Linked DNA regions of Notamacropus eugenii. The protein of the gene in region 1 interacts with the protein of each later gene in a biochemical or structural test. Links are inferred from orthologs where the notes say so. Each region holds a gene or a part of one and is shown on either strand. Other genes may lie near its edges. The genes, in order: RBPJ, SPEN and NOTCH1.

Region 1 (7,628 bases):
TCTCCTAAAACTATGTCTCAGTGGGAGATGAAGAGGACCTGAGGTATGGCATGGAGGAATATATCAGAAGCAATAGTATGGCAGAGCAACATAAAAAGGGAAGTAATTCTTAGCCAATGCTACAGCTCTTTATGGTAAAAAATATATATATATATATATGTTCAGAAGGCATCAACTTTCAAAAGAAAAAAATATGAAAGAATATGAAGTTTCTCACAAGTGATGCTGGCTCCTCATAACTGAAGAAGTTTTTGACTGCATCACTGGCATTACTTCATTTGTACTTCTGTATTAAGAGACAGAAACAGAACCACAAGGCTCAGGATCAGAAGTATATTACTGACAGCAAACACGAAGAGCTGAATGAAGCCACTGCTGATGTTTAATAAGACGAGGCAAGGACAAGGTGACAGACAAGAGTCCCTCCAGCCTTGGACACTCACTGTGTGACTGGCCAAGTCACTTAAGCTGCCTGCCTCAGTTTCCTCAATGTTTTTTTTCTGGAGATAAAAATGAGATATTTGTAAAGTACTCTGCAAACCCTGAAGCACTATATAACACTATATAAATGCTAATTATTATTACAGTCCCAGAGGCATAGGAAAATTCAGAAATATAAGGGATAGACCTTTCATTTTCCCCTTGCAAAGAAGTGGCCACCTTAAAGCTGAAGACTAAATTAGACATACACGTTAGTTTTCCTCTTCTTTTTTCCTTCTATGTAGCTTTTTCTTAACTATAGTTTTTAGAAGTCTCTGAAAAATAAATGTAAGCAAATGAAGAAAGCATGTACCAGAAAAAGGTGATTTTTTAAAAAAAAGTTTGACAGCTATCTTTACTGCTAAAATATTGCATATAAAAACCTTACTCAATCTATGGCTGAATTATTTATTGACTTTTCACTTTTCCTCTAAATTAACTACTTTACTAAGTGTAATTAAGTGACAAGAGGACCACAGAGGAGCTTAAGCTGTATTAAGGAAGGCCTGGGTTCAAGTTCCACCTCTAATACAGACTAGGAGAGTGAGTGACCCTGGCCAAGTCACTTAAACTCTCAGTGGCCCTGACAACTCTATAAGACTTTTAGTTTCAAAGCAGGTGACCTTTTATGCTGGCAGGAGATTTCTCACTGAGAGTTTCTTAAACCAATGAAATCATACAAAACACAACATGGTTTACCTTTAGTAGTGTGTTTGTCCCTGGATTGAGAGAACCCTGCAAATATTTCTTCTGACAATCATACCTAGCTACCTTCCTGCTGGCAATGAAGCACAATGGAAAATGTGTTGGATTTACAAGTAGATTTTCATTGAAATCCCAGTTCTGTCACTTACTGTGAAAAGGTGCATGTGTCACTTAACTTCTAATGATTTAATAAAATGAGGGAATTGGACTAAATAATATTATCTCTAATGATTCTTCCAGTTCCAAATCTTTGTTCCTACAATCCTATACGGACATGCAGGACTTCACAGCTTCTATATTAAAAAAGGAAATGGAAATGCTTGCTACAGATCTATGAAAATCCAAGACACATTTTAAATATGACAAATTAATGGCAAACACAAAAATGTTTCAGTCTTTGCAAAAAAAAATACTTATTCAACCTTACCAAACCCTCACAAAACCGTAACTTTTTTGAGTTAACAAAAGAAGACCTGCAAAAATCAAGTTGGATTTTTCAGATGGTCCTAATTACTTCTTAAAGCTATCTTGGACATTGGACATTAAGAAAACTGACATAATTTAAAAGGTATCACTAAATGTCACCAGCCTACAAAACAATAATTTAACTCATAAGTAGATATAAACCCTCCCCTGACTCCCTGCCAAAAAAAGTGAGGTACAGTGTTATAAAGGGAAATTTCCGTCTTCTAAATTCAGAATATTTACATGACCTTAGAGGAAAATATTCTAAAATGACCTGAAAAATCTAATCCTTTAAAAATATGAAATGGGCTTCCAAATATGCTCTGCTTCTTTTTTTTAATCATAACATAATCAGAAAATGATTTCACTTAGTTTTTTTGTGTTTTTATTTTTGCCCAAGTAAATTCTCCAAGGAGAATATATTCTGTCTTTCCATTAATGAATGGGAAAAGGATTCACCAGAACTGAATAAAAATTTATTTTCACTACTTGCATACAAGAGGGAACAATAACACAGCAACAATAAAAATCATTCACTAGAAATTAAAAGCCAAAGTATGAAATTTAAGAGTTGGAAAGGGAAAAAAAGTCGGTTACAGGTTTATAGATCTTAATTATTTGAAGATATTATGTTGGTTTCCCAAAATGTCATAATGCTACAAAGCCCTTGAAAAGCTCTGTATAGTAAGCAGGAAGAAAAGAAGTAGACTTTAAAGAGGTATCTTTTTTGGAAAAAGAAAAAATAAGATCCTTAATTATTTCTGCCATAAAACATGAATTTGGGTAGCATGATCATCAAAAAGCAAAGGATACAGCAAGTGCATACATCAATGACCAACAATTATCAAGTGGATTAATTTTAAAAAACAACATTCTAGAATCTAAGACACTATTTCTACAAAAGAGAATGTCTTGGATTTAATAATAGCTCCAAAACATGTTTAATTACTGAAATATCGAAATAATTTTGTAATAAGGTGATTTCACCAATAAATCTGTGATTTAATGAGATTCTGAGATTTTCTATTAAATCAAACTGAAATGAATTACTTTCCTATCTGCCTCCAACATACACTGTTCTTTATTACTAAAAGATAAGACATTTTGTACCCTGCATAACCTTTATAAGCAACCAGAGTTGTTTCATATCTTACTACCTTTAGGAAAGCTTTTGGCAACAGATATGCACTACCAAATCAGGGGTTTTCCAAGGTTTCAAAGAGTCAAAATGGCTTTGATTGCATCACTCATGTAAAACTACAGAAACATAAAAGCCTGAACATTTTTCAGTGGTTATGGGTACCATGTACCTAGAATTAACATTATTGTTAACCACAAACAACAGTAAGACTAAGTATCACAAACACATAAATCATGATTAATAAGACAAACATTTGTGAATAAACAATACACACACTAAAAATAATGAATCACTCATTTTCCTGAGTGAAAATTTTAATATGTAGAACAAAAACAAATATACACCACGGTTCTGGCCTCCAGAGTAGTCAGACTTATATATGACTCAAATGACAGCACTGAAGCAAAGCAAAAAAAAAAACAAAACTAATCTGTACTCTGAATCAAAAATTTAGTTACAACCTAAAGTATTGCTCTGAATTTATGATGAAAAAAAAATTACTGCCCATTAACTGTTTTAAAAATCAGATAAAACTTAACAGTTGAATAATTCCTATAGCTATTTTTAATTCAGTTCTTGAATTTCTACAGCATAGCATGCAGGTTATACATTTAATACAAAATGCTAATACTCTAGACTCAAAACCATATCCACAATCCACAAAATAAAGCACCTTAGAATACTCAGTCATTATTGCTAACAAAGCCTGGGATTTACACTGTCAATGACCTAAGAACAATGGGTCACTGGGATGTTTCCAAGCCATACCTTTTAATCCACGCCATGGTACTTCAAGAACATGTTAAGGTGAGCCACGGCTCGGCACACTTCGATGCACCTCAAAACACCTCAGCCAGTGTATCATTCTCCTTTCCTTTGGAGATCATAATGGCTCCGAAGAACTATAATGCTTCCATTTCAATGTCAGTCTCATACAAAATTTCAATAACTTTAAAAAAACAAAAACAAAAAAAAATGACTTTAAGTGTTAGTATGTTAAAGCACTAGAGAACTGTGTTAAACAAACTGCCATGATCAAGAAAAATAAATAAGCTGTTGCTAATATGAAAAACTATGTTTTAAACAAATACTGTTCTATGTAAAGGAGTTAAGCTTTGCCATAGCTTCCTGGGGGCTAGCAATTTTTTAAAAATTTGGTCTCACTTTAGAACCCGGGCAAGTAGCTTAAACCTCAATTGTTGCTTCAGTTCTCCATCAATAAAAGAAGACAGAACAGACCACTCAGTCAAAGTGGTCAGACTCTGAATAATTATTTGGCCCAAAGTTGGATGAAACTTTTGCAGGAAGGCATTCTCTTCACAGGAATATTATTATTTTTTTTTTTTTAGTAAGAGGAAATAATACAGATCTGCTCCTATAGCAGAAATCATGTTGATTTAAATTTGTACACTTTCTAACAAATTGAAAAAATTTCAGTTGGTAAGGTCTTCTTATAGCATTTTATACTAATTCTAACTCAGAGATAGCAAAATCTATATAAGGGTTTCCTCAAATTTGATTTCTTGATTTTTCAAGATGTGGACTGGTAGAATGATTTTTTTTTTCCTCATTAAAAATTTTCTCCTTCTCATGGTTCATTTTTGGGGTTGGGCAATAAGAAAAGATTTCACTTGTAATTCCTATTTTTAATCTACTATGCATCTATTTTTATGTTTAAAAAAAGGAACTTGGAATTTGATCTACAGATAGGGAGACAAAACTGAATAGCTACTCAAATACATATATATATACACACTTATCATAAAAGAAATAATGATATTCTGGGATCAGCTCTGATTAATCAAGGTAAGTTTGATGAAACTGAACATTAAAGTAAGGGTTTCAATAACCAGAAAAGACTAGGTAGATAATAAAAGATAAGGTATTAAGTTATGTCTATTTATAAATGATAGGGAATATGGCAAAACCACAGGATAAAAGATTTATAGATGTTAGGAAACATTATTCCGAGAGTGAAACTAAATCCTTAGAAAACAACACAAAATAAAATACTAACAAATTTAAATATTACACAAGGCTGCTATCATCAGATACCACAACCTGAGATTCTGATTTTTAAATCACCTTTTACCAAATAAATTTTAGCCAGAAAAAAAAAGGCACTGCTTTACAAACTGTCCTTGAAACTACTTTTTACATCCAAATTATAAGAAACTACTGACTTTTTTATTTTTTAAAATGGAGACATCTTCCCATAGAAAACAATTCTAGTGCCAAGCAAAACTTTTAGAATTATATATTTAAAGGAGAGCTAGAGTATTCATTAAGCAGACATTTATTAAAAGCTTATTGCAAAGTACAGGAGGGTACAGGGGAAGATATAAAGATAATTAATCCTCCTCCCACCCCTCCCCATGGAGTAGTAGAAAATCACACACACTCAAAGTATGCATTAATATAAAATATACAAAGTTATAATGCTAAATAAAATATAACCTTAAGCATAAAATGTTATGCAAGGTCCAAGGAAGAAAACGTCATTTCTGATTTTTGGTAAGGGGTAGGGAAGTGGGTGGAGAAATACTTAAAAAAGGAGACTGTAGCACTTGAAATTGAATCCTGCAGGATGAGTAGGATTTCATAAATCAGTATTTTTTCTTTTACATAAGCAGTACAGGAATATTTCTCAAATGTACTTTATCAGCTGAAACTAGTCTCATTCATGTGTATCTCAGCTGAGGTAATAGATATAGGCAAACAGATGTATAGGAGTGTAATAGATATACTACATTTATTTTTTCTTTTAAAGTCTGGAAAAAAGGCAAAGAGAAAATGGTTGAGAAATTCCAAATTTCCTGTACACTTACAGGGAAATTTAAGATTTTATAGACAGCTATTCATTCATTATATTCCTAATTTTATTAAATGTAACCTACAAAATTGAGCCACTAGGCAGTAGGAGGTGTGTTCATGTGCAAGTGTACTTATCTGAACATATTTAAAATCAAAGTGTTTTAGCCTCTGTATCATGAACCTCTTTAGAAAGTGATACTATAGTGTCTTTCTTAAAATAATGTAGTTTTTTAAAAAATTCATGATTGAAGAAAATGCTAAATCTCGGTTGTTGTTCAGTCATTTTTCATTTGTGTCCAACTCTTCATAACTCCATTTGGGGTCTTCTTGGCACAGATATTGGAGTGGTTTTTCATTTCCTTCACCAGCTCATTTTATAGATGAGGAAACTGAGGCAAACAAGGTTAAATGACTGGCCCAGAGTCACACAGCTAGTTAAGTGTTTGAACTTAGGAAAATGAGTTTACCTGATTCTAGGTCCAGTACTTTATCCACTGCACCACCTAGCTGTTCAATTAGAGGTTATTGAAAATAAAGAAGGTCCCCTTGAAATCTATCCAAGGATGGTGGTTTGTGGATCCCTAGGTTAAGAACCCCTGGTTTGTCTGGTAAAAACAAAAAACACCTTTTCAAATAAAATCTACTGTAAAATATCACATTATATTTAATTATATAATCTTGATATAACACTACTGTAAGTCCCAAAGACAGAAAATGGGTAACTGGGTAACCTTTCTCTATGTTGACTTAATTAAAATATCTGTACCACACTGAAAATAATTAATGACCACTTTTATATCTCTTCCTTAAATTATTTTTAAAGTTAAGAGAATTAATGTCTAAATACTATAATTTAGATGTTAGTAGACATGAAAAGTCTCAATACTCAACCAATGTCCAAATTACAGTGACAAATTTAGCATGTCTAATATAAAAAGATTTTCTAAGGTAATTTTATAGCTCCAAATCCTAGGAACTAAAAAGTCTACCTGAGAACTCAATATTTTGCCTCTTAGAAATCAGCAACTCCCTTCAAAGTTAAGTATGGAGACTAGTTCTTAAAAGAGACTTTTTCTGATCTTCCAGGCTCCAGTACCCCAAAATGACTATATATATTTTACATTTATTTGTGAATGTTTTCCAATAGAAGGTAAACTCCAAGAGGACAGGGGATGTTTTCTTCTGGTGCATTAGTGGGACCCCAGAAAAAAACAGAAAAGGCTGCAGAGACTAGAAGACAGAAGTTGAAAAGTTAATCAAAACTCAACAAAGGGTTAAATAGCTCAACTGCAAATAAAGAGACCAGAAAGACAAAGGACTTGCCCAGAGAGTAAAAGCCACCTCAGTCTATAGCCACACAACATTCACTCACATAAAATTCCCAAAGGAGCATGGGAGATGAAATTCAACTGAACTGAAATTTACAACTAGGAAGGAGGAAGATCACCCAGCCCACTCCAGCTCTAGCTCCAACAAAACCCGTGGAGTTCTCACCAGAGCAAATAATGATCAAGATATCCAAAGAAAAGTTATAGGAAGTACCTTCTTCACATCAGAACTGAAAAAGGAATCCAACCAGAAACCGGAGGACAACTGGAAAGGACACAACCAGCAAAGCAGGCACCAGATTAGTTAGGTACCCTTCCAGCTTGCTCAGATAAGGGTTAAGGACATGTGTAGCCTGCAAGGCTCTGTGTCCAGGTGCATCAAGAATGGAGAGCTCCTCAGTAAAAGTCCCAATGTGGACACTCTGGAAGGGGTAGACAGCAACAGTTACACCAGTCACAGTCAAGCCATCAGACCTGGACAATCCAATCCCAGAGTCAGTGAATCATCTTCCAAGGTGCCAGGGCTTTAAATCTCAAAAATCTCGAAGAGGTAAGGTAACCTAGGGAGGCAGAAATCTGCACAGGAAACCAGGGCAAGACCAAAGCACAGCAGGAAGAGAAGCCTTACACAAAGCTCTAATTCATGAACTAAAGGTAGAGATGAGTAAATCAAAGGAAACAATGATCAATGTAAA
Region 2 (7,646 bases), on another chromosome or scaffold:
TGTGTGTGTGTGTGTGTGTATTCTTTGGTTTTACCTTATATTTCAATTAATTGCATTTGTTCTTAATGAGATTAAAGGTGTTATAGTTCTCTAGTATTTTCCAAAGTTTAATGAAAAATTGTATTTGTTACCCAGAAAATATAGATTATTTTCACACACAACCCCCTCCCCCACTATTCTTCCTGCAGCATTATCTTTTTTTAAATAAGTTTTTTTGAAGTCTTTTGCTTCTTACATCATCTTATTTATCCCCAGTTTCCCTCCCTCCCAGAGAACCATCCCCTCCGACAAATAGTATTTTTAAAGAGGAAAAAAATAACTACAACTGATTGATACATGGGAAAAGTCTGAAAAATGTGCAGTGTGGACTTCTCACCTCCATGAAGGGGTGTTTTGGAGGTGTCTTTTCATATCTCTTCATTTGAGTCTTGCTTTATAATATTGTTGTCCTCACTTTCGATTTTTCAATATGTGATAGTTCTTTCCATTTACATTGTTGCCGTCATGGTGTAGTTTGTTTTCTTGGCTCTACTTACTTCAGTCTGCATCAGTTTATATAGGTCTTTCCAGGCTTCTCTGTAATTCCTCACACACGTCACACACATCATCACACATCTTACAATGCAGTAATATTACTGTGAAGAATATTACTTACAGGGTAGTAATATTCCATTACATTAATATACCATAATTTATTTAGCCATTCTCTAGTAGATGGGCATCTCCTTTTTTTCTAATTCTTTGTATTAACTTTTTTTAAGAAACATATTCAGTGTTCTCCTGAACTGTAAGTTTCTTTAGCTCAATACTAGCATAATATATGGTGGAGTTTTTTCCAGTAAATTTCCTTAATTTAGACTAAGCGGCTTAATATTCTGTCAAGGGGCACCTTTTTGTTCTCAGAAACAGTACACTATTTGTTTTACTCAGGCGAGTAACATGAAAATACATCTGTTTAGACTCATATCCTTTTTGATAACATAAGCTGAGAATTATTTCAAAAATCTCAAACTGAGAAACATGTAGATTTGTTTTTTAAAAAATTAACATTTTGTTTATATAGCTATTTTGAGAGTTTACTGAAAAGGGGATTTTGTGATGAGTAAACCAGTTTGCCTGAGTAACTAAGGGTTCAAAAGTAGTTTTGTTTACTTTAAATGTAAACCATTAAATTTCTTTTGATTGATTTTAGAGCTAAGCTGGTTTGTTGCCCTCATTTGATACTTGGCTGTCAATTGTCCTGAGATCCCCCAAGACTTTTATTCCTCTGTATACCTTATATGCATTTTCAAAGTGGCAGTTTAGGCCATTTTACCACCTAAACAAAAGAGTAGTCAAAAGTACAATTAAGAATATTTGTAATTTCAAATGGAGTTTTAACAAGGGGTGTATGTGTGTGTGTGTGTGTGTGTGTGTGTGTGTGTGTGTGTGCATCCGCGTGCACATGCTTTTTCATAGGGAAATAGGTTTCTGCCAGAAGACCTTTAGCCTACTCCCTGAGTACTGGTTTTTCTTTATTATGAATATGATCCCTTTTAATTTCACTGTGTTCCCATTATTCTTGTATTCTCAGGAAAATAAATAGCTCCAATTAGTTTTTCTCTGGTAGGCATTCTTTTTATATCTCTATTCTAGATCATAGATGGACACAAAATATATCATTATTGTCAACACTATTGTATTATTGTGCTCTCTTCTAATTATAGCAAGGAGGTGAAAACTAGGTTTTTCCATCTTTTTCAGATCCTGGGTTTTCCTAGCATTCAAAGATATATTATTTGTTTGCATAACTGCATGATGGTATTTTCTGAACCTTGTCAACTTCCATGTCACTTGCTTAAAAAAAACCCTGTGTCTTGTGCAAAGTCTTGCTCTCCATGGTAATGTTTTGGTCTTTCTAAGAGGTTACAGCTAATTTATAACCCATTAGGTTTTATATGAGTAATTTGCATCATTTCTTATGTGCCTTACCCTGTGGTTGCTTGTACTGAAACTTATGCTTCATTGGAAGAGTGCAGGACAGTTCAATCTCTCCAGCTGTCATCTCATATATTGTAGACCAGTGGTGTCAAAGTCAAAGAGAAACAGGAGCCACAAAACTGTACGTAAGGCTCTCTGAGGAAGTTGCGTATTGACTTAGTTTTAAAATGTGATATTACCTATGTTTTATTCTACTTTATTTCGTTACATATTTCCCAATTACAATTTAATCGGGGTTGGACCCCATGAGTCCTGTGAGCTTCATGCTTGACACCTCTGTTACTGTCCATTAAAGTTTCTGTAATAGTTTGCTACCTTTCAGACTACTTATTGAAATGTTCTGGTACAGAAATGACTTGTATTTATGCTGAATCCTAAATCTCAAAGCAGGCTGTTTTCTCTTTTCTCCCCTATTACTCTTCATAGTTCTTTCACTGGCAAAAAACTTGCATTTCATTCAGTGGGACTTTTGTTTGCTTGAGGACAATGAGAGTGGCCCCTAAGGGTGCACTGTTTTATGTTTCTTTCCATTATATTATGAATGAATGCCACTGCTGTGGTTCTTTGTGGCTGTTTTCAACCCTAGACCTTTTTCTGTCCCTTCCTCTTACTGAAGTCCCTAAAATAAGCAGGGAAAAAATGGCTGTTAAAATAGAAAATGGAAACCACACACTTGGAAAACTCAGCATAGAAAATAAGCCTGTTAAATCAGTAGACCTACAATTTGGAGAATTTATACGTAACTTGTCAAAGTCCCAAACCCAATTTGATGAAAACAAGTCCACCAAGTTGGCAAGGTTGCCCTTGACCTAGCTTATCATGTACTGTAATTGTTGCCGTGTTGTATTTGTTTCCTGGAGCTTGCAACCGTGTAACTGCGGGGCTTTGCTAAGCCCCGGAATGTCCTCAGAGATAGTGGAGAGAGACTAGGTCAGTGGATCTAACTTGGAGACCGCTTGCTAAACACAGTACAGAGCGAATAAAGAAACGGATGAAACTGGAGTATAGTGTGATGCTTTTATCGCTGTGCAGCCATTAAGAAATTATTTGGTGATTAAAACAGACTAAAGCACAGAATGCATTTGAAACTTGAGACACTTCTGAAAAAAGTTAGTCTGAGGCTCGTTTGACTGTAGAATACAAGAGCTAAGTCTTACTAGGGAAAAATTTTCCTTATCGATGCTGATTTTCTCTGCTAATATGAAAAATAAAGCTCATTTCAGTCTGTGAGAAATGTATATTCCTTAAAACAATACAACCAAGTGTTTGTTTTCCAGGGAACTACCTGGCGTTTCCAGTTAACAGCGAGGTGTTAGCTCTAAAAGGCGTTCCGTCCCTGCGGGCCCCTCAGATCTTTCGGAGCTAGCTTCCCCTCCAGGCCCTTCCATTCCCCGCTCATCGGTGGCAGTGCCTGCGGCTGGCCCAGTGCTGTGCCAAGGGCTCCCTTAGGACTTTGCCTCTTAGCTGAGGAGTCGCGTTCCTTGGAAGAGGGGAGCAGCCCGAGGACTACCCACCTTTCCTCTAAGTACGGCTTCCAAAGTCTTGCTCTTGGAGAGGTCTGACCGTCTCCCTCCTGCCCTCGCCCCGAGGTCTGTTCTTGGCAAACCCTCGGCACGCTTCACCTACTGAACAGCCTTTTACCCGAGGAGCTGCCCTGGCTTCTAAGATAGCAGCCACTGCGGTGGTTTGGAGGTGCTCGTGGGGGCCAGGGCAGGGGACTGCAGGGGGATGGGCAGCGCCCCCAGCCGCAGTAATCCTAGCTGGCGTTTACAAGCCCCCTCGGGCTTGGCCGGCGCTTTCGGCCGGTGCTCTCCTGCGAGCTCGTGGCTCTCGTCCCCCATTTCACAGATGAGGAAGCTGGGCCTGGGGGTGGGGGCAGGGGCTTCCTTCCCCTCCCAGAAGGGCGCTCCCCCTACAGACTCCTTTCCTCGCCCCGCAGCTGGCCAGGGGCAGCGCATGCTTTCGGGGAGCCGCCAGCAGCGGCTCCGCCACCTCCAGGGCTCCCTCCCTCGGGGCCTAGCTCCGGGGGGCAGGGGAACCTTTTCGGCTCTCTGGTCGCGCGGCTGCGCACAGAGGGAGCGGCCCGCTTTGGTCTCTCCGTCTCCTCCCTCCCGCCTCCTCGCGCCTGCGCACCGGCCGAAAAGGCGAGCGGGGCCGAGGCTTCACTGAGCGCGTACCCGCAGCCCGGAGCAGAGGAGCGTGCGGGCGGGCTGGCGCGCGCGTGCGCCGGTGGGAAGCGTCCGGACTCAGGCAGGCGGCGAGCTCCGCCGTCGACGCCGTCGGCGTGGGGCTTCGCCCCTCCTCCCGCTCCCCCTCCCCTTCCCCCTCCCCCTCCCCTGCTCTCCCTCCCGCCCCCCGGAGCCGCCAGTGCGCATGCGCCGCCGCAGCGCGAGGGTCGGGTGCGAGTGTGTGGAGGAGCCAGAGCGGAGCGGGGAGTCCGGAGAGTCAGAACCTGGGGGAGAGGAATGGTGTCTGCACGGGGGGGAGCCGGAGGAGCCGCCGCCGCCGCCGCCGCTGCCGACGCCGCCGCCGCCGCCGCAGCTGCCGCCGCCGCCGCAGCTCCCGCTCCGGCTCCGGCTCCCGCTCCGGCTCCCGCTCCCGCCTCCCGGGGCTGAGGGTCCCGCACGGAGCCGGGGGGGCAGGACGAGGAGGAGGCGGAGGAGGAGGAGGAGGAGGCGGCGGAGGAGGAGGAGGAGGTGGCGGAGGAGGGGGAGGCGGAGGAGCCGCCGCCGCCGGAGCCGCCCCCGGGCCGCTGCCCAGCATGGTCCGGGAAACCAGGCACCTCTGGGTGGGCAACTTACCGGAGAACGTGCGGGAGGAGAAGATCATCGAGCATTTCAAACGGTGAGTGAGCGAGCGAGCCCGTCCGCCTGCGCCGGGCCCGCCCGCCCGGGGCCTCCCCCAACTCGGAGCCGGCGCCGGCCGGGGCCCGGCCTGGCCCGGCTCCGGGAGCCCAGCGGGCGAACGGCACCCCGCCCCCGCGTCCCCGGCCCCTCGAGCGGAGGCCCGCCGAGCCCGTTGCTGCCGGCGGTCCCCGCACTGGCCCGGGGCCGGCCCCGACCCGACCCCCGAGATCTGCTTGGGCAAGGGAAGAGCGGGGAAGCCGACCCGGCCGGCCCGGGCACTCACCTGCCGGCCGGGGGAAGCAGAGCCTTGGCCCTCGGACCGATGGGGCTCACCTAGTCGGGGGGTGCCCGGCCCCTTGGGGATGGGAACTGCTCCTCCCTCCACCCCCCTCCCCACCCCCCCTCCCCAACAACCCTCATGGACTCCAGGATGGGAAACTCTGGAGTCGCATAGCAACTCCTGCTGCCGCCGCCGCTCCTGCCCCGGGCTCGCCCGCGCCCTCGCTGGGCACGATCTTTGCCTTTCCTAAAGGGCTTTTGTGCGAAAGGAAAACAATACAGAGGGGCATTGTAGGGTGTGCAGAAGCGTGGGCACGGACGGCGCTGCGGGACCGTGGGCAGCCTCGTACGTGGAGGACATTAAGTGGAAATGGAAAACTTGGATTTTCATCGATGCCCGGAGATAACCTTTGGAGCTGCCTTCTCCGCTCGTTCGAATGAGGAAGGAGACTGGTGGGAACTAAGCGGTGGCGGTGTAAAAATGGTTTTATTTTTTTGAAGAAGTCAGCCTCCACTGCGGCCTGCTGGTCTACAGGAAAGCTGCGGGGTCTCTAACACCGCAGCCGCGCTGGCCCCATCCGTGGCGTGCCTGCCCCTAAAAACGTGGTGTTTGTGGTCCCGCAGAGATGCCGCACGCCTCCGAGAGCCTTGTGGTCCCTGCGCGGCGCCCGCTTGTGTTGGGTGGCACCCCACGTCCGTGCTCTTTGTGAGAGGCCCCCCGGATTTGCATTGCCAAGCCTCTTTAGCCAGGACGACGGACGGGGCTTGTTCACATTGTCTGGAAGGAGTCTTGCTGGCGCACGTTTCCAGGACTAGCCCTCGCCCTCCCCCCGGAGTGTAGCTGCCTCCTGATGCCTTCTGCCACTGCTTAGGGTAGCGAGGGTAGGAACATTGTGGAGCGTCCTCCCGAGTGAGTCACCATGGGAAAAGCAGAGTCGGTTGCTCGCACATGAGCAGCTCGGATCAGGAAATGGAAGCGGCCCGGGCCCAGCGGCTGCCTCGTAAATGGAGGCTCATTGATTACTGCTGGCTGCGGGCCGCCTCCGAGCTGGGCGAGCTGGCCCGGGAGCGCGCCGGGCGCGCCCCCGCGTGTGAAAAGGGCCTGTGCGGGGCCCTGGGGGAGGCGGGGCGGGGGCTCCTCATGACTTTCACCTTACTCTTGACTGGGGGGGAGGGCGGCCGCGGCCTGGGAGGGGGCGAGGCTCGGGCGGGGGGGGCGGCCGAGGAACGCACTCCCTCCCCCCTCGCCCCGGCAGTTGGGCCCCGCTGTGGCTCCGGGGGTCGGGGTCGGCCCGGCTCCCCTCGTGGTCCTCGCCCCGACGTCCGGGGCCGGGAAATGCCCGTGGCCGGCACGTGCCCGGCCGCCTCGGCGTGGCCGGCGTGTGTGGCCTGGCGGGCCGGCCCCGGTAGGGCTCGGCGGGCGGCGTCCGGGCCGGGAAGCGGAGCCGGAGCGGGCGAGCGGGCGGCTCTGAATGGCTCTAAAATGGCGGCTGGACCCAGTTTACGTGGGAAACGGCGGAGCCGCCGCGCCGCGGGGGGGAGGGAGGGGGAGGGGTGGGAAGCGGGGCCGCCTGCCCTCCCCTCCCCCTGCGGGACTGCGGACCCCCTGGCGGCCCCGAGCCCCCTCCTCTGCCCCCCCCCCCCCCCCCCAGCCCGGACACGCGGGACGATGCGGGGAAAATCGAATAGCATTTTTGCCTTCCCCCCCCCCCCCCCCCCCCGATGCCCTAGTGGCTCGTGGGCACTCGAGAAGCCACGCGTGGGGCCAGCCCCGAGCGGCGGGGCCGGGGATGGCTGCCTTTGTTTCCCTTCGCGGCTCTCCGTCCGCTCGGGGCGAGGCTTCCTTGTTGTGGCTTTGGCCGCAGCTCCTCCAGCCAGAACCAAAGCCTCGGAGAGGGGCCCGCGAAGCCTGCGGCCCGGGGGCGGCCCGGGGTCCGAGCATGCAGAGGGAGGATGGGAGGGAGCTCCGCGGCCCGGCTTCCTGGGAGGTGCTGTTTGCACAATAGAGCTCGTCCCTGCCTTTGTGGGGGAAGGGGCCTCGCAGCCTGGGGCGGCGGGGTCCTGCGCAGCCAGGGTCGCCCCCCGAATTGGGGCGCCGACGGAAGCTTGCTGTCTTTCCTAGAGAGCCCTCCGTACCTTAAAATGGCTTTTCCATTTTCCTGATCTCCTCTAGCAAACCCAGTAAGATTCCCACCCATCCCCCCGTCCGAAGAGACCGTAGAGAATATGCAAAGAGGTTGAGCGAGCAGAATTCCTGAATTCCTCTTACTCAGGCTGGAATGTTTTTCAAAAGCTGTCCCTCCAGCCCAAGCATAAAGGATAGCAAGCCATGGGGGGGACGGACCCTGAAACGTCACAATGATGCTGCCCCCGTAGTTAAAAGGCAGTCGAGTCGGTTAAAAGTTGTTTATTAAAGCTTTCTCCCCTCCCCCTCCATGATAGTATAGTAGTAGGTTCCTTATCTATATTTTATATCGATTAATAATTTCTACTTGTGTTTTTAATTTATGACTGAAAAATCTTTTTTTCTGAAGTCAAATA
Region 3 (8,080 bases), on another chromosome or scaffold:
GAGTATCTTGTCCAACCCCCTTCTTTATTCTTATTTAACTTCTTAATTTTGTTATCTTCCCCATCCCATTCCATCTAGCATAGTACTATAATCTATTTATACCATCATAAGCACTTAGTAAATATTCATTATTGCTGAACTGTTGAGTCAGTTGTAGAAGAAAAATGTACATTCAGTAAATATTCTACATCTATCATATGTGTGTACATCCACTTCCACATATAAATACAGGTATGTATGTATAGAAACATACACAGGTACCAGATTTCTTAAGGGCAGATAACCCTTCTAATGAATTCTTTTGATTTTCTTAATGAAGTCAACAAGGAGGTAGGAAGGAAGAATGATAGACTGAAAGTTGGGCTGTTTCTATAAAGCCAGCTATCCAAGGTCTATCCCAGCCTACTAGCTCTAAATTGCACAATAACTTGGCAAAGGATGGGAAAAGTTACCCAGAAGCCAATCTGACCAATTCAACTACTCAAAAATTCCACCAGCATGACTTTCCCAAACTTCCCTCGATCTCCCTTCTCGCCCACCCAACCAGAAGCCTATACTTGAGGGGAGATCCACATCTCTTTCAAAGGGGAGGAGGGAAGGGAAAGAGAGGAAAAGGGAGGAGAGAGAAGAGGGAGGAGGGAGTGGGGGGGGGGGAGCTCAGACTACAGTGAGCGCTCAGAAATGCAGTGAATTGTCTGCCTGTTCAAACATTCATGGTAAAGTGACTTATCTAGCCAGTCCTGGAGGGGGAGTCTGAATGGCCCCAAAGCAAGCCGCACACACTCCCCTCCTGGTTCGTGGGAAAATGCGACAGCTGCGGGGCCCAGCTTCCCCTGAACTCCAACAAAGCGGGAATCAGAGCCGCCCATTGTAACTCGTTTAAAGACACCTCTTGTTGCATTATTGACTGTAGGGCTAGGATTGAATATTACCTCCCGGGACACTCAATACCTGCTCCCGGGAAGATCTGAGGTGCACCAATGGGCCCGCCTCCACCTCACCCCCCACCCCTCAAATGCTGGGCCAATTCACAGAATTCCGCGGACACCCCCCTCCACCATCCCGGTTCCATTCCTGGGCAGAGAGAGAAGTGCTTCCCCAACTTAAAGCCCCAATGAGGGGTTCGGGCTATATATATCAAACATGAGAATCTAGTGGGCCCGTCCCCTCTAGCGACCTCCTTTCTTGGAGAGTCAACTGAAATTAAGAGTTTGGGGTGGGCTGGGGGCGGCGGGGAGAGCTGTGCCCAAAGTCTGCGGCCTTTTTTTTTCTTTTAACACTTTTTTCAAAGAGGGGCGAGGAGGGTTAGGCAGTGTTGTTCTTCTTTGCACCGCTCGGGGAGGGGCGCCCACGAAGCGTGGGAAGCAGAGAGGAGGGAGGCAGTGAGTGGAGGACACCCGGCAGAGGGCTGCCTGACTCATCGCTGCTCCGTGGGCTGAGGGGGAGGAGGGAGCCGTATGGGGGGCCCCCTGCAAGTGAACGTTCTCCCAGTCCCGAGAGAGTTGTCATTCCTTAAGGTCAGGAGAAAAGAAAACTCCAAAGTAGAGGGTGAGATCACAGGAGCCAGAGAATGTTCTGTGAAACTTTTTTTTCTTCCCTCCCCCGCCTTTTTTTCCAGGAAGGGTTACAGATGCTTAGAAGTTTTAGGTTTTTGGACCAAAAAGTTACTCATCCCTTAAGCTTCAAGCAACTTTCCCGTAGCCTGCGGGACGGCTCTCCCACCAGAGTGGCCAAGGTCAGCACAACGGCCGGAATGCAGAGCCCTTGCAGCCCCAGGGAGTGGGGCCACATATTCCCCCCCCCCCCCCCGCTACGGCACCGGGGAGCGGGCTTCCGTCGGTTTCCTCGCAAAAACTCAACACTGTTCTGAGCCCGAAAACCCCGCGCCGCTGACATCCGCCCCCAGCCCTCGACCCGAAAGTGGAGTGGGCAGACGGAGAAGAAAAGACCAGAGAGAACAGGAAACCTGACTCAAGTTCGAATAGAAAGAACTCAGCCAGCGGAGAAAAAACCCAAAGCGGGGGGGGGGATGGGGGGATGCAGGTTTGGCCCGGGGCGGGAGCGCGGGGTAGGGGGGGAATGTAGGTTTGGCAGTGCATGGAGAAATGCAGGTTTGACTGCGGGTAGGGGGATGCAGATTTGGAAGGGGGCGGGAGAGAAAGCAGGCGGAGAGTAAGGGTCGTTCAAGAACTTAGCCTCAGCCTCCAAGGCATCTGGAACCCTCCCTATATTTCCATCAGTTTGGACACACAAGCCACACTCCGCACCTTCCCCTCCCGGTGCCACCTCAATCCCCTCCCTAAACAGAGCCCCCAAATTGGGGGAGGGAGTAGTCTTCCCTGCAGCCAAGAGTCTCCCGGAAAGTGGGGAAACTGGGGATGGATGACATCTTGCACATAGCCAGGGGCGCAAAGCTGGGAAAAGGTGACTCCAGGGGGTCCCATCCCGGCCAGGGAGGTACTGACATTCCCACTCACCCACCCACCCGTTTCGCTGCTGCCTGCACCATCACACGATGCCCGTAGTGACCAAGCCAGGTTGCTTTCCCCTCCCCTTGTACAATCCATGCCTGTTCACTCTCTCCCCAATACTGGCTGGATTAGCCGCGTCTCTTTTCCAGGAGGAAAAAAGTTTTCTCCAACGGTGCACAAAGTTTGCGGGCTTGCCCGCCCCGCCAGATTGTTCTCCCACCCCCAGATCTGGGGGTTCCGATCTCCACTGGAGCAGCCCCAAGTCCTACCTCGTGCGAGGACCGGCAGCAGCGACAGACAGACGACGGGCACTAGGAGCGGCCGCATGCCTCCAGCAGCGGCCAGCTCTCCCCCAGCGGCGCTTCGCTCGGGCAATCCCAGAAAGGCTCAGAGTGACATAAGGTCTCCGAACGGGCAGGGAAATCCTAAGCAGCGTCTCTCAGCTAGGGAGCCAATCTCGCCCTCGTCTTCCCTTTCTCGGCAGGCGGACGGGCGCGCACGCACTGCCCGAGTTCCCTCGTTCCCTCGCTTCCTCGCAGACTTCTCCGCGCCGCTCCGGCTCAACCCTACGTAACCTACAGCTGCCAAGACACTAAGTGAAGCTGCGAGCTCCGCGCCTCTCCCACTCCTCCTGCTCCTCCCCCCCACCCCAGCCGTGAACCTCCCTCTTCTCCGAATCCTTCCGCTCCCCCTCCACCCCCTCCCTATGGAGCTTCGCTTCTCTCAGCTCCAGAGCTCCCCGGAGAGACCGCGGGCCGAAGATGCTTTCTGGGGTGTCCAAAGCTCTCTTGAAGAACCCCGAATACTTTTCTGGGGCTGGGAGGGCCTCCCGTGCCAGGGGACTACTTCTCGTTTGAAAGTTTCAGAAACTACTGAAAGTTTGTTGTGAGCTTGCGGAGGGATTCTTGGTTCTTGCATGAAGTTTCTGTTCTTCGCCTAGTCTTTTACGTATTTGCATGTCAATGGAGGAGCCACTGGTTTCGGGGCCGGGGACCAGCAGAGTGGAGCGTAGGGTGTGCTTAGTCCCAGCCACCTTCCCTTCCTAACCTTGTCTCCGGCCTCCCTCTACGGGATGCTCTGTGGGGACTTCATGCAGAGGTAGAGAAGACAGGGAAAGTGGAAGGAACGTTCAGGACGAAGAGCCAGGGATTGTCCCAAAGACTGATCTGAATGCCTTAAAAGGCAGTGAGCTGGGCTAGGGGGACTTGGGTTTGGAGGAGTATTCTCGGGCCCCACCCTCGAGAGCTTTCCTGGAGTGGATGTTGGATTTGGGTAAGACTTGGGGGTGACCTAAATCCCCCTTTCCTAACTTAGGAATTAATCGTGGAGCACAGACAGGTTTGTGCATTCATCCTGATCTCTTTCCCTCCACCCCCTCATTCCCTGTAACTCTGGGCACTTCTAGGAGACCAGACGGGTCCATAGGAAGGTGACTGGGGACTTGAACACATTTGACCATGACGTCTTCGTGCACTTGACTCTCTTAGAGGGGTAGGTTTTCGGGTGCCACGGAGGTCATCTATTCCAACCTCTCGTTGAAAGACATAGAGAGGGTTAAGAGGCTTTGTCCAAATTCACACTGATAGTGTGTATTAGAGGCAGGATTTGAATCCAGGTCCCAAGACTCCAAATCCAACCAATCAGCAAGTATTTATTTAACCACTTACTATATACCAGGAACTATATCACTAGAGATACAAAGACAAAAAACAAACAGTTTTTGCCCTCAAGAAGCTTATTAATTCTGTTGGGGAACTATCTACACATACAAGTAAGCACGAAATCCATACCCTGTAAATAAAAAGTAGATAGGATGGGGGAGAGAAGAGACACTAGGTGTTGGGAAAGATCAGGAAGGGCTGTATATAAAAGAGGGACTTGTCCTAGATTTTGAAGCTGCTAAGGGATACCAAGCTGGGGGGTCTCTACACAGGCAGGAGATGGAATGTTATGTACCAAGAGAAGCAAATAGGCCATTTAACAGGAATGTAGTGTGTATGAAGTGGAATAATGTGCAAGGAGTCTGGAAAGGTTTTTTGGAGTCAGTGTGAAAATCTCTGAATGCCAAAGGAGATGGTATTTTTATCTTAAAAGCAATAAAGAGCCTTTGGAGCTCTTTGAACAGATAAATGACTGAGGCAGATCTTTAGGCCTCAGGTTGTTGTCACAGCTTGGTGGAGGATGTTTTGGAGAGGAGAGGGTCTAGAGGCAGGGAGACCAACTGGGACACCTCTGCATTATCCCATTCTAGAGGGATGAGGTCCTAGGCTAGAGTAGTAGCATGTAGTAGTAGCATCATAGTAGCATCCAGAGCGTAGAGAAGAGGCCAGAAATTTTATGGCTGAAGATCAACAAAACTTGATAACTAATTAGATATGGGTAATCAGGAAGAATGAAAAGTCAGGAATGACTCTAAGATTTCAATTTCAAACTTGAGTTACTGAGAGGGTGATGGTATCCTCAAAGGAAAGAGGAAAATTGGGAAGATGTATGAGTTTGGGGGAAAAGATAATGAATTCTACCTACTTTGGACTTGTTGAGTTGAGCTGCCTATGGGACCTCTCAGTGGAAAAGTCCAACAATCAGTTGATGATGGACCATAGGGAGATCTATAGTTGTAGATCTGGAAATTATCACCAAAAAGATAAGTGGATGGATGAGATTGTGGTAGAGAGAGTAGAGTGTAGAGATCACAGGACAGACTCTTGGGGCATACCCCATTAGAGTATGGGCCATGGATGGTGACCCAGGAGAGCAGTTTCAGGGGTGTGCTCATCCTTGATAAACGAATAGCCAGACAAATAGGTGGAGAATTGGATGACAATACTCAGAGAAGAGAGAGGAGATGGGAGCAGAGAGTTATTAGCAAGTGTCCTATGCTATAGCAAGGTCAAGAAGGATGAGAACTGAGAAAAAGCCATTAGATTTGACTAATTAAGAGATCATTGGTAATTTTGAGGGAGCAGTTTCATTTGAACAATGAGATCAGAAGCCAGATTGCAAGGATTTGAGAAGTGAGAGAAAATGCTGTCAAAGAATATAGTATTTCCACCACCCTCTGTTTCCCCCATCCCCATCCTCAACTCCTGCCTTCTACTCTCTCCAAACTTATGGCCTTGTGAGTCCAACATGAAGTTGGAAGAAAAGGATAGTGAGATTGTATCCATCTAAATAGACCCCATGTCAAAAACCCAACAAAGTTCCAGATGGTGTCTAGGTGTGTGAAAACATACTCAAAAATAAATCCAAGCGTCAAAATCCCTTCTATCTCAAGGTCTGTAGGCCTGCATTTGCTTTGATTCCATTAAACAACCATCTGTTAAACCTACTTTGTACTGTGTTAGGTGCTGGGGGAGATATTTCATTGATTTATACAAAAATTTTAAGCCATTCTCTTCTCTTTTTAATGAACTAGCTGGCTTTATGTGGATGCATTACCTTAGAAAGCAGTAGACCACAACTATCCTTACCAGAGTAGCTAAAACCTTTTCATTTACAAATTGAGCTTCTGAAGACTTTCTCTACCTTATTTACAAACACTTCCCCAAAGTTGGTAACAAATTATGTTCTCAAGCACTTTGTGGAGGGTTCCTAGATACTTGAGTCTGTTTGTTTGAAGAATCTTTTCATCAAAGGAAACCAAAGTCTAACATTAAAGGTTACTTAAGCAGAGAGACGTTAAGTTCAGCAACTTCACAGTTGAGTGGCCGTTTTTCCACCCACTCTGTCCCACAAGATCATAGGATGGATCCCAGAATTTACTTGGCCTGGCTGGAAGTAGACGGTCTATCCCAGTTCACTACTCAGACTATATCAGAACCTCAGAGTTAGAAAAGATTTCAAAGGTCATCTAATTCAATACATTTTCAAAAGTGTTTCAAATGTTTTAATCATTTTTATTGACTTGACATCTATCTCCTTGATTAGTTTTATATACAAAGAATAGAAAAAGAATTGCATATGAATCTCAATTACTGAAATCATGGTTATTATCTTTATAAATCTATAATAAATCTACATGGTAATTCCAATACATTCTTGTTCACCTGTGTCTCTTTCTGAATTTCCTTCTGATCTCTTCTGTGTATTTAATAAAGAAATGTTTCATTAACAATCTTTTTTCTTCTTATTTTGGCATCACTATTACTGCTCCCTTCATGATTTCTCCCCCATCCTCCAAAGATTTTTTTTCCTTGCAACAGATAAGTATAGTCAAGCAGAACAGATCTATACAATGGCCATGTCAGAAAATGTATGTCACATTCTGAACCTTTAGACCTCTCTGTCAAAATTAGGGAGTTAAGATTCATCACGAATCTTCTGGAATGATGGTGGTTCTCTATTTGATCAAAATACTTAATCAAGTCCTCCAAAGTTGCTTTTCTGTACAGTGTTATAGCTATTAAATAAATTGTTTCCCTGATTCTACTTAATTCGCTCTATATACAATCATATATACAAGTCTGTGAATCCATCCCTTTCATAGACCACAAATTACTTACTCATCCATTTTCCAATGGATAAGTACTCCCCTTATTTCTAATTCTTTAATATGAGAAAAAGTGCTCCTTTAAATGTTTTTGTACAAATTAATCCTTTTTTCTCTTTCCTTCATCTCTGGGTTTTAACCCAATAGCAATATCAGTTGGTGAAAGGATATGAAAAGGTTAGCAATTTTTGGGGAGTATGGTCCCAAATTGCTTTCTAGAATGGTACCAACTCACACTTCTCCCAACAGTACATACAAAAGAGTTGCCTTTTTTCCTGCAGCTACTCCAACAATTGTCATTTTCCATTCTTTTGTTCATCTTTGCCAAAATGATGGCTGTAAGATGGAAAGCCAGGGCTGTTTTCATTAATGCAACCTATTTCTAAAGAAGATCCTCTCTACAATATCCCTTAAAAGTGAACAAGTGATCTAGCCTTTACTTGAAGATCTCCAACAGACTCACAGCCTCCCTGAGGCAGTCTGTTCCACTTTTAGATAGCCCCAGTTGTTAGAAGGGTTAATTTTGTTTTGTTTTTCTTCACACAAAGTCAAAATCTGCCTCTCTGCAACTTCCCATTATTCCTCATTCTGTTCTTTGAGGCCAAGATTTAGAGACAAAGCTCCTTTCCAGAAGATACCCATTAGCATACTTGAAGAAAATAATGATGTCGTCCCCAATCCCCAAATCTTCTCGTCCAGGATAAATACCCCCAAATCCTTTCAACCTATCCTAGTTAGCACAGTTTTGTTTCCTGTCCTCCCTGTTCAGTTTACCTGTATGATGGTGATTGGTATCATAGATTTAGATCTGTTTCCCACTGGTGTATATATTTGGGGAGAATGTACCCCCAGGCTTATGGGGGAGATGTTTTGTTACTCCTGAACTTGCTATGTTATTTCAGTAAATGCCTTCTTTTTAGAAATTAAAACTGGAAAGGACCTGGGAGGTCATATTGTATTTTATACTTCTTTATTTTGCAGATGAAGAAATGCAGGCACAGAAAAGATAAGTGACTTACTCAGAATCACACAGTTAGGTAAGTGACTGAAAGGTATTTGAACCTAAGGTCTTCCTGACTCCCAGTTCACTACTCTATCCTTGATGCCTCCAAATGAGTTC

The links.
Region 2: the proteins of RBPJ (region 1) and SPEN form a complex in vitro, tested with the Homo sapiens proteins (2 studies listed by BioGRID and IntAct). The link is inferred for Notamacropus eugenii from reciprocal best matches to the Homo sapiens genes RBPJ and SPEN.
Region 3: the proteins of RBPJ (region 1) and NOTCH1 form a complex in vitro, tested with the Homo sapiens proteins (5 studies listed by BioGRID and IntAct, with this or other methods). The link is inferred for Notamacropus eugenii from reciprocal best matches to the Homo sapiens genes RBPJ and NOTCH1.

What each region holds. Positions count from the first base shown.
Region 1 is NC_092877.1:79,244,349-79,251,976, reverse strand, and holds the start of RBPJ (recombining binding protein suppressor of hairless), read right to left. Parts: upstream 3,071-7,628; 5' UTR 271-3,070; coding exon 218-270; intron 1-217. UniProt on the Homo sapiens protein: Transcriptional regulator that plays a central role in Notch signaling, a signaling pathway involved in cell-cell communication that regulates a broad spectrum of cell-fate determinations.
Region 2 is NC_092876.1:55,286,822-55,294,467, forward strand, and holds the start of SPEN (msx2-interacting protein), read left to right. Parts: upstream 1-4,621; 5' UTR 4,622-4,741; coding exon 4,742-4,824; intron 4,825-5,654; exon of another isoform or gene 5,655-6,015; intron 6,016-7,646. UniProt on the Homo sapiens protein: May serve as a nuclear matrix platform that organizes and integrates transcriptional responses. In osteoblasts, supports transcription activation: synergizes with RUNX2 to enhance FGFR2-mediated activation of the osteocalcin FGF-responsive element (OCFRE).
Region 3 is NC_092872.1:489,517,962-489,526,041, reverse strand, and holds the start of NOTCH1 (neurogenic locus notch homolog protein 1), read right to left. Parts: upstream 3,071-8,080; 5' UTR 2,799-3,070; coding exon 2,741-2,798; intron 1-2,740. UniProt on the Homo sapiens protein: Functions as a receptor for membrane-bound ligands Jagged-1 (JAG1), Jagged-2 (JAG2) and Delta-1 (DLL1) to regulate cell-fate determination.